Arabidopsis thaliana: one gene and its partner. The protein of the gene in region 1 purifies or fractionates together with the protein of each later gene. This does not show direct contact. Each region holds a gene or a part of one and is shown in the gene's direction. Other genes may lie near its edges.

Region 1 (5,509 bases):
GTCATTTTTTTTTGGGATAAATTCTATCGGTAAAAACATACTGAAATACGCTAGAGTGGATTCTTTTCACTTGTCATAAAACCCAATAAAAATCATATTTATTATTTTATTATTATTTAAGTTCGTTTCTTAACATAATACATTACCACTATCTAATACCTCATATAAAATTAGATTTAAAATCCTATAAACACACACTAAATTCTGAAAGAAATAATGTTAGGTTGTTTAATTTCTTTTTTTTGTTTGTCAAATCAGATATATTGATATAAAACAAGGTTACAAAATATATAAACATTATAATACAATTATTATACGCAAATACAAAAATTTGATACAATTTTGATAAAGGAGTGAAAGTAACCCGACATTACAAGCAAATAGGCGTTGGTCATGATACATAAATATTTTTTAATTATAAGAAAATTACTATTATTTTAAAATCACAAATTTTAAACTGTATATTTTCTTAATTAGGCACTGATGAACAATTCGTGATACAATGTGGAAACATGTCTCAAATCGAAACCCTTATTTGATATGTTATTAAGATACCTGCTGGGGAGGTGCCTCATCCCAAAATAAACTAAATTAATTAACATTCATTTAGGTAGAAAAATTACTATAATGACATACTTAATCATATAATTATACTTTTCCTTCATACCACCAATAAAAGCAGATCGCTATCTAGCTCTTAGACAAGATAATAGCATAGCTTTTAATTTTGATAAAGCTGAATGGTCCTTGTAGATAAAGTTAAGAGAAGAATATGTTTTTTTTTTTACAAAGGCTTGTTTTCATTCATTCACATAAAAACAAGTACAAGAAGGAGTGATTCAAAGATCACAAAGTTTAAAACATAATTAAAGGAGGTATTCCCCAAAGCCAAAACATAATAGAGGCATTTCTCTAAGACACGAAAGGAAATGCATAGCATTCAAACCGACTCATATTAAATCATCTCTCATAAATGAAAAACTACTTCCACTTGAGACACTAAAGGACTCACCAATCAACATATTAAGAAAGTTACTGTTTCGTGGCTTGAAAATATGTAGAAAAGCTTCCAGGACGATGTCTCATTCATTAATTTTCTGATGATTCCAAATTCGTTTTCCGAACCACAACTTATGATTGCAAAAACCTAATGATTCGGCTTGAGTTGAGTCATGATGAGAATTTCTCCTGCTTAATTAAAATTCTGTTTTTAGGTATAAGAGATTCTATTCAGCAAAGATATTCAAGATGAGTAACAGATATTAAACATACCATGAACATTCACAAACCTGTGGGAATTAATATATGAACTTACCTAGCAAAAGCGAACATGTAATTTCTCATTTACATTTTCCCGTACTATGTAAAATTGAAACACATTTTCAAGTTTAAGGAAGATTATAATTTTGGAGTCGATGTAGTATCCCGAGAGCATACGAAACATATGTTGTATTTTCAAATTTGCGCCTCTCGATATTGAACTACAATAATGCATGTTAGATTCAAAGCAGCCTCGCTTTGGACCCTATAAAATGAGTTAATGCAAGCCATAATAATTTATCGATCGACATATTTACTAAACAAGCCAGAATGTGATCTCGATCTCAGCCTGTGTTAATCTTTTTGTAATTGAACATTCTGGACTAATGAACTCTTCACTATTGAAAAAAACAACAACACATAGATCATTTACACAAAGTCTCCCTTTACTAAATTTCAAGATTTGGTCCATTTATTCCAATGAGAAATATTCCAGATATTTTTTTTGGCTGTTGACTGTACGGATAGGCCCTTAATGGGCTTTTAATGGATTAAATTAGGCCCATGATACTTGAAAAATCTGAAAGGTGTTGTTGTGTTGTGTGTGACAGTCCAGTCGCGTCATCCGGAGACATCCATTTTCTCTGGTAGCTGTTTACTTCTTCTTCTTCTTCTTCTTCTTCTTCCTCCTCCTCTGTTCGTCAATCGCCGATCTCGTTGCTTCATTTTCCTGTGAGTATTTTCTCGATTCGACACATCTCATATCCGAATCTGCCATTTCTTCATTCAATTTTGTTTATTTGTTGGAACTTCGGATCTATATAGAGAATCGAGTTTTCTAGGGCTTACTCATTGTTTCGGGTATATGTAATGGCTGAGAATCTTCTCTGTTTGTATCAGTGAGATCGATTGGTACAAGTGTTCATCCAATGGTTGGAGGAGGAGTTATCCGGCAGCTTCTTAGAAGGAAACTTCATTCCCAATCAGTCGTGAGCTTTTTCCCTGTTACATCTTTTTGATTTTCTGCTGTAGCTTAGGATCTGTTTGAAGATAGAATCATATGATTTGTTTTGGTTCTGTCTACACCTTCATTGCTCTGAGAGATTGTCCTTGAAGAATTGTAACTGGAATTGTTGTGGCGTTGGAGATTTTGGGATATAAGAAACTTAGACTTATTGATTTGTGCTTCGAGAGTATGATTAATATTCGATTTCTTTTCAGAAAAAGTAGTCTTTTGATTTGTTGAGCATACACCTTCTTGTGTCTTGGCCTTTTTTTTTGTTTTCTTACTGTTGTTCTGTATTATCTACCACCATAGGCAACTCCGGTATTGTCATGGTTGTCTTCGAAGAAAGCGAATGAAGATGCTGGGTCTGCTGGTTTAAGAGCATTTGCTCTCATGGGTGCTGGTATTACCGGATTATTGAGTTTTTCTACTGTTGCATCTGCTGATGAGGCTGAACATGGTCTGGAGTGTCCTAACTACCCTTGGCCACATGAGGGCATTCTCAGCTCATATGACCATGCTTCGTGAGTGTTCAAGCTACAATTCAATCATCATAGTGAAATTGCAACACTAAAGTTGAAAATTAGAGAAATTTGAGACTGCTTTACTGACGGTTGATTTGTAATGAGCAGGATCCGTCGTGGTCACCAAGTTTATCAGCAAGTTTGTGCGTCTTGCCATTCGATGTCTCTGATCTCATACCGAGACTTGGTGGGTGTTGCCTACACAGAGGAAGAGGCGAAGGCCATGGCAGCTGAAATCGAGGTTGTTGATGGACCAAATGATGAGGGTGAGATGTTCACCCGACCTGGTAAACTCAGTGATCGGCTTCCTGAACCATACTCAAATGAATCGGCTGCTAGGTTCGCCAATGGAGGAGCGTATCCACCGGATCTAAGTCTTGTAACTAAGGTTTGGTGCTCTTTCTCTCCATTTGTATACAATTAGAAAATTCATCTACTATGATCTAAGCAATTTGGCTATTTTCTTCCAGGCACGTCACAATGGCCAAAATTATGTCTTTGCTCTGTTGACTGGTTATCGTGATCCTCCTGCTGGAATTTCGGTAAATTTCTCTCCTATTTTTGCTTTAGACTTGTTATTACAACTTCAAATTGTTGGAAGTTAGAAATAATCCTGTGACTAACGGGTACAGATCAGAGAGGGGCTACACTACAATCCTTATTTCCCTGGTGGAGCAATCGCTATGCCAAAAATGCTCAACGATGAAGCTGTGGAATATGAAGATGGAACTCCTGCAACAGAAGCACAGGTTAGTTTTCCTCTGCTTAAGAAAATAATTTGCAGACCATAAAGTTTTATCAGATTTGACCTTTCCTCTGAGTCAATTATATAATCTTTAATTTTTCTTTTTTTAAAAAACATGATGCAGATGGGTAAAGATGTTGTATCCTTCTTGTCCTGGGCAGCTGAACCAGAGATGGAAGAGAGGAAATTGGTAAGTTTCTTAGTTTCATATATTCCATGTTTTAAGCTGTCGTTTCCATATGTACGAGATTGCAATAGGAATATCAATCTGGATTCTGATTATTTGATTTTCAGATTCAGTTTGAGAAAATTGTTACCAAACTTAAACCGGCATAGTATAGATTGGTTTTGGATGTAGAAAAAGTATCGCCATTTTATCCGTGTTAAGATTTCCTTGGTTCTGTCTTCTGTATAGCGGGATGAACACACCTAGTTGCATAGTTGTGTTGAACACACCTAGTTGCATAGTTGTGTTGACCACACTACTGCTTGTTTCTTGAGGCTGCTAATCTCAGACCAAAACTATTATCAAACATGAACCGTATTGTTACTCTGTATTCAAAACCGTCATGTTGGTTCTAAACCGACCCAAAAAAACCCGCTATACCGAGAATCCAACTCTTTGTGCTTAGATATCTGTTAACGTTGGTTGTATGTGTGTGCAGATGGGGTTCAAATGGATATTCTTACTGTCTTTGGCTCTGCTTCAAGCTGCGTATTACAGGAGACTGAAATGGTCAGTACTCAAATCCCGTAAGCTTGTTCTCGACGTTGTTAACTAATCCCGTGAAGATCACCTTTTCTCTGGGTAATAATCATTAATCTTGAAAGGGATAAATGGTGAATCCCACTTTTTGTCTCAAAAGACATGTTTCTTTGTTTATTGTTTAGAAAGTCTAATGAGGCAAAGAAGTAAAGCTTTTTTAACCTCAAGTCACACATGATTTTGAGATTATATTATTTCTTTTTGGTTTGTTGTCTCCTAAACCGGACTCGGTTTGTCTTAATAAAAATGTGGTTTTACAATCTCTCTCCTATTTGTATATCACAAAACATGATTTTGTAACTATTAAAGTTAAAAAGTTAAAATCTGTGGTCTATTTCTGATAGACCAAAACTCCACAGAACAACCAATTTACCTCTGTTGCGAACTCGATTTTGTAAAACTTAGAAAAATGTAGGCAGGATTTAGACCCGTTAATGTAAAACCAGTTCCGTTAAGACATTACCAAACAAAATTGCACAATCCTACAGACAATGAAACAAACATGCAGGATCGGACAAAACCTCAAAATACAAGTCCACACTTTTAATTGTCCCTTGGAATCAATATTTATAAAAATGTAATGAGCTCAAATTTTTATAACCTATGAAAAGATCAAAATCTTGATTAAAAAGAAGAAAAAAACCAATCAAATCCTGGCAGGCTTCTGCAGAACAGCCGAGAGAAAAACCTCAGCATCAGTTTTCTCTCCAACAACCCATTTCAACTTCTTATACCCAAACCTCTCTATCAAACGCGTAAGAACTCTCTTCTTCTCATCATTACCGCAATAGAAATTGTCTAACTAGAACAATCCACCGGGTTTCAAGATCCGATCAAGATCAAACATCAAGAACTCTAGCTTCTCGGGTTTACTACTAACCGCTAAATCCAATCCGTTAGAAGCATGAATGAGATCAAAAACATTGTCATAGAACGGGAATCTCTAATCCAAACTCCCTCTGAACAACGGAAAAATCCCTCTTGTAGCTATGAATTCGCTGAAAGGAGCATCTATATTTAATGTAATACCGATAATATTCAGATTCTTTTCAGCCATTCTAGCAGCAAACGTGCCTGATCCGCTGCTAATATCGAATCCGATTCGGATTTTCCCATCGCCTAAACCCAAACATCATCTATCAGGAAATCAGTCTTCACTTTAACCTTAACAAACCTATCTTTCTCATGACCAGAGCTAGATCAAAGCA
Region 2 (4,878 bases), on another chromosome or scaffold:
GCCTAAAACTGTAGCAGGAGCCAGGAGCATAGATCTAGTAATAGTGATTATATTGCCTCCTCTAGAGGAATGTGTTCTCCTGGGGTTATTACTCAGAGGCAGAGCAGGACATTTACATTGTTCTTATTGTGCTATTTCCATTTTTTTTACAGGCGCTGAAATATTTGTCCATCAAATATGGAGTTTTCCACGCTATATACAGTTATTGGAAAAATAAGGTTTGATATAGTTGTCGTATAGTTTGATGATAATTGATTTTTTTTTTTTTAATGAAAAGTTGTTAATGGTTCTTTGGGCATAGGCTTAAAACATTAAGTAACTTCGACTTTTGTATTCTTTTAGCGTGAAATATGGCAGAAGCCTATCTTGCGGCGTTTACAGGTATATCATTTGGACTGGTCTCAATCTTACATGTGGAAGAAATGAATTTATTCTGAAATGTACTGAAAATTAGCTACTCTTGTGTTTTTTGTTTGGAACAGCCTCCACCACCGGTCAATGATACCAATCCGTACAATGTGTTTAGGCCACGGGAGAAAGCTCATAGACTACACGCAAGAAGAGTAGGCTGTCTTGTTGTCTGTGGTTTATCAATTTCCTTATCTTACATGTGTGAGTATGGAAAATGCACCATAACTTACTAACAATAGTTGACCTCACTTCAGATGCAGCAGAGAGAAAACAATGCGCAGTCATTTGAGAAGCTGCGACAGGTAAGGGAAGACCTGAATCTGTGTTTAACTTCTTAAAATAATTCCTGGATTCTCAAACGTTCTTCTCTTCTGTTCTGGGATATGTTATTATTAGGTCAGGCGCAATCTTGACCAAGCAAAGACCATTCTAGAAGCTCTTATTAAGGTAATCTAAATGACATCTATATTTTGTGACTTGAATGTAATTTTATTGATATCTTAAGAGATACCTGCAGACTCCATAGGTATTAACTTGATTAAAAACATGTTATCTTTATAGAGAGAAGAGAAAAAGAGGGATTTCATGGCGAGTGAGGTTAGCCTTCAGAGAATCCAACTGAAATATAAGGTAGTCCTCTACAACCTGCATCGAGTGTTCTTTTGTTACCAGAAAGAGTTGTGCATTTCGATCTCCTCTGATTTTTTTTGTGGGGTTTTGATATGTTTGCAGAATGAAACCGAACTTTTGGAAGATAGTTTGGCTCTGGCTGGGTTTCCACTCTCTACAGCTTACAGATTTGGCTCAAGCGAAGATGAATTCATGGACTCCGATGACCCGACCACCACCCAAACATGTACAAGGCCTTCCTTTACCCCTCATCGTCGTTTCACCGACTCAAACCTCGCTCGAGCTCAAGCCGGGAGCATAAAGCAAGAGGCGAGAAGACTTGGATGGCTCCACAAACTGGTAATTCTTCAGAACCTCTGTATTTGAAACATTTGAGACTATTAGGTTACTACATTCTGGTGACAAGATAAAAAAGAGAGAATTACGTTCACTGTTTATGTTGTTTCTGTGTAGAATCCTAATGAGCCAGTTATGCTGTTCACGAAAGCATTGGTCCCCGATAAACTGGCTGCTGCGGGAATCATCCCTCCATCAGATGCAAGAAGTGGAAGAGCTCGGTTTCAAGGAAGAATGGGTAGAGGCGGTCGGATTGTATTTGATAGATGGAATCCTCTAAACCAAGCCCACATTAACTGTGGCAACACTCTCTACATAGCACCATAACATCTCAACTAGTTTTCTTCTTCTTCATTGTAAAGAGTTATCCCCGTTAGTTCCTCCCCAGTGGTGGTGAAGATTGTCACCAAAACACTTTGTATCTCCTCTAAATTTTGTGTAGTCTTTGGTTTTCCCGGTTTATTGATCAATCTCGGCTACTTTGTGAACTTTAGGTCCGGTTAGTGACCATTGATCAGGTATTAACTTTTTTCAGCAATGGTCTAGTTTGGTCCACGTCTTGAGAACCTGGATCCTGAAATGTGTGAAACTTGGAAGGAATTGACTGTCATACCAAATATAACCGGTTTGATTGCCCGGTTATGAGCTGAGTAAGTAGTTAACCAGAAGGGTCAATTTGTAAATTAAGAGACATCTGATCGAATTTTGTTCCGACGACCGTGAATCACCAGCAAAGGATTCGTGTCAATGTTCTTGTGAGATCGAACTTTCTCTGGGTTCGTGCAGAAGCTTTGCTTTTTTGAGTATCGCGTTTAAGGTTCGGATGGAATTTTAGGCTTTTCGTTGGTCATTCTCTTGTTCAATGCTTCTTTTGCTTGATTAAGCTTTTCAGCTAATCGGATTTTCTTCTCTCACATCAGGCACATCGAAGAAGAGAGACCCTAATTTGATATTTTGAGTTCTATCGATGGCTTCGCTACTAGCTCGCAGGTCGTTCAGTGCTCTCCGAGCTCGACATCTCGTAAGAATCTCGTAGGCTCTTCCATTTTATATCGCTTATATTCCTAGAAATTTGGAATTGCTGCTAAGTTTTTTGAAATCACTAGTTGGTATTGTCTGCCCCGGCCGGCTCTAGGCATGTGCAAGTGGTGCTGCTATACATGTTTTTGTCTTTTTTTTTCCTGGGTATTGTTCCTCTATGCATCTCTTTGTATTGCGTTGGTACATCAATCGTGAAGCTTCATTTTTCCTTTAGATCATATACTCTTCCTTGAAGAGAGAATGTATCGCCTAAATGTTGTTATCTCAATCTCTGCAAATATAAATACTTTAACTGAGAGCGTCGTGGTAGTTAACTTTTACTTTCAATAGCTCTTTTGGTGGCTATGCTATGGAATTCTTCTCGCATTTAACATCTACCTTGTCTTTGTTGATAGGCTTTTTCAGGGCAAGGTTTACAGGGATCTCATCTCTGTGGGCTACAGTCCCGTGCTATATCTTATGGAAGCAACAAAGGTATAAATTTTGTTGCTTCCATTTGGGTTCTCTTGGTTAATTTAGGCTATGACTTTTCAGGAATATAGGTTACTAATCCTTTGCCTCTGGTAATATGTAGATGATGAAGAAGCTGAGCAGCTTGCTAAAGAGATCTCCAAGGACTGGAGTACTGGTAAGCTATTTGATCCAGACACTTTTCAACCTTTCTATTCTCTTAGCATTCCTTCCTGATTACTTCCTTCTGCGAGTCTTAGCGATTCCTGATGTTTCTTACTTTTACAGTCTTTGAACGGAGCATGAACACCCTATTTCTCACTGAAATGGTCAGGGGTTTGTCACTGACCCTCAAGTACTTCTTTGATCCAAAAGTTACAGTGAGTGGCTGTCTCCCTTGACTCTAGTAATTAGGCTGAAAGAAAAATATTCTGATTCTCAAGTTTTATCTTTTGTGCAGATCAATTATCCTTTTGAGAAGGGTCCATTGAGCCCTCGTTTCCGTGGTGAACACGCTCTTCGAAGGTATCCAACTGGGGAAGAACGCTGCATTGCCTGCAAACTCTGCGAAGCTGTGAGTTTTTGAAGTCTATGCTACTCGAGAATTCATACCACAGCACAATATTGACATAAAGTGTGATTTTTCATGGATACTGGTCTTTTGCTCATCAGGTATGTCCAGCTCAAGCAATCACAATAGAGGCAGAGGAGCGGGAAGATGGAAGCCGCAGAACCACTAGGTCACCCTCTAAGTTCCCGTTTATTAACCATATATATATTATTTAATACTGTCTTGTCTCTATGGTTCTTCTATATATTTCGTAGTGTAGTGATTGTTCGGAGCTGTACAGGTATGATATCGACATGACGAAATGCATCTATTGTGGTTTCTGCCAAGAAGCTTGCCCTGTTGATGCAATCGTGGAAGGACCAAACTTTGAGTTTGCAACCGAGACACATGAGGTCTGTATAAACAATTCAGAAAGACATAAGATTGCCCATGATCTTAAAGTTAGATGTGTATTATTCGATAAATGACATTCTGATTCTTTTTGGTGTGCAGGAACTTCTGTATGACAAAGAGAAGCTTCTTGAGAATGGAGATAGGTGGGAGACAGAGATTGCAGAGAATCTGAGGTCGGAGAGCCTCTACCGCTGAATATTGATCCGAAAATGCCTTTTGCCTAATTCTTAAGGAAACGTTTTCGTTTGCTTCTGTTACAAATAAAGATGCTTCAGCCTTTGCACTGTTATTGCTATCTGTATTTCTTGAGTTCATACCGATGGCAAAATCAAATTTGGCTTTGTTTCCGGTTTGAGCTGGACCGTGCGGTAAATGGATTATGATATGATTCAATGGTGTTGTTACTCTCAGTGTCGGTCGGTCAAGTGTCTAACAAAAAATTGCTAATATCTGAAGAGAACATTAATGATGTAAAATACAGAGAAATACAAGGGTAAAATGGTAGTTTAATAGACTGGCATGAACATGCATAATTGCATATCTAGTAAAAACCTCTGATTGGCAGAAACTCCAGCTCAGGAACTTACTCTATTTGGAATTTCGTCTTAAATTCGCTTTCTCATCTTCTTTTACTTCTCGGTTTCAAGATCTCTTTCAGAGATTTCTCATTTTACTTATCCTCCTGGCTTGCGTGAGTTTAGACGTGCGACATTGTTTCTTCATCGTAATCATAGGTTACGTTTTCTTGATCTCGTAAGGAAGAATCTTCCTCACTAGGCTCTGATCTTTGCGGTGGAAGATTGCTTCTTTCTTTGTGTATCAAATTTTAAAGTTGGATTGAAGTCCTAGGTTTTATCATCTGAGGTTTAGATGTATCTTCTTTCTTTGCTTATGCTTGGTTTTACTACTGATTATGATTATGCTGGTTAATTGGTGTTGCTTTAGGGATTTCACGTTACACTTGCTCCCATGGACAATGATGTTTTCCAGATTCGCCGGTCCATGCGAGACGCTATGTAAGCCTTCAATTTTTCACATTCACTCGT

Evidence for each region.
Region 2: the proteins of AT5G40810 (region 1) and AT1G16700 fractionate together in Arabidopsis thaliana (co-fractionation; one large-scale study listed by BioGRID). This does not show direct contact.

Annotation. Positions count from the first base shown.
Region 1 is NC_003076.8:16,338,011-16,343,519, forward strand, and holds AT5G40810 (Cytochrome C1 family), read left to right. Parts: upstream 1-1,852; 5' UTR 1,853-1,992; intron 1,993-2,160; 5' UTR 2,161-2,189; coding exon 2,190-2,249; exon of another isoform or gene 2,250-2,578; coding exon 2,579-2,790; intron 2,791-2,898; coding exon 2,899-3,178; intron 3,179-3,260; coding exon 3,261-3,332; intron 3,333-3,422; coding exon 3,423-3,539; intron 3,540-3,659; coding exon 3,660-3,725; intron 3,726-4,200; coding exon 4,201-4,317; 3' UTR 4,318-4,917; downstream 4,918-5,509. UniProt on the Arabidopsis thaliana protein: Component of the ubiquinol-cytochrome c oxidoreductase, a multisubunit transmembrane complex that is part of the mitochondrial electron transport chain which drives oxidative phosphorylation.
Region 2 is NC_003070.9:5,707,668-5,712,545, forward strand, and holds AT1G16700 (Alpha-helical ferredoxin), read left to right. Parts: upstream 1-1,956; 5' UTR 1,957-2,194; intron 2,195-2,297; 5' UTR 2,298-2,344; coding exon 2,345-2,398; intron 2,399-2,813; coding exon 2,814-2,892; intron 2,893-2,992; coding exon 2,993-3,046; intron 3,047-3,156; coding exon 3,157-3,248; intron 3,249-3,328; coding exon 3,329-3,442; intron 3,443-3,540; coding exon 3,541-3,608; intron 3,609-3,719; coding exon 3,720-3,831; intron 3,832-3,931; coding exon 3,932-4,027; 3' UTR 4,028-4,376; downstream 4,377-4,878. Other genes in the region: AT1G16690 (Enhancer of polycomb-like transcription factor protein), read left to right, coding at 153-218, 343-381, 483-563, 666-713, 808-858, 973-1,041, 1,144-1,380, 1,495-1,704; AT1G16705 (p300/CBP acetyltransferase-related protein-like protein), read left to right, coding at 4,802-4,848. UniProt on the Arabidopsis thaliana protein: Core subunit of the mitochondrial membrane respiratory chain NADH dehydrogenase (Complex I) that is believed to belong to the minimal assembly required for catalysis. Complex I functions in the transfer of electrons from NADH to the respiratory chain.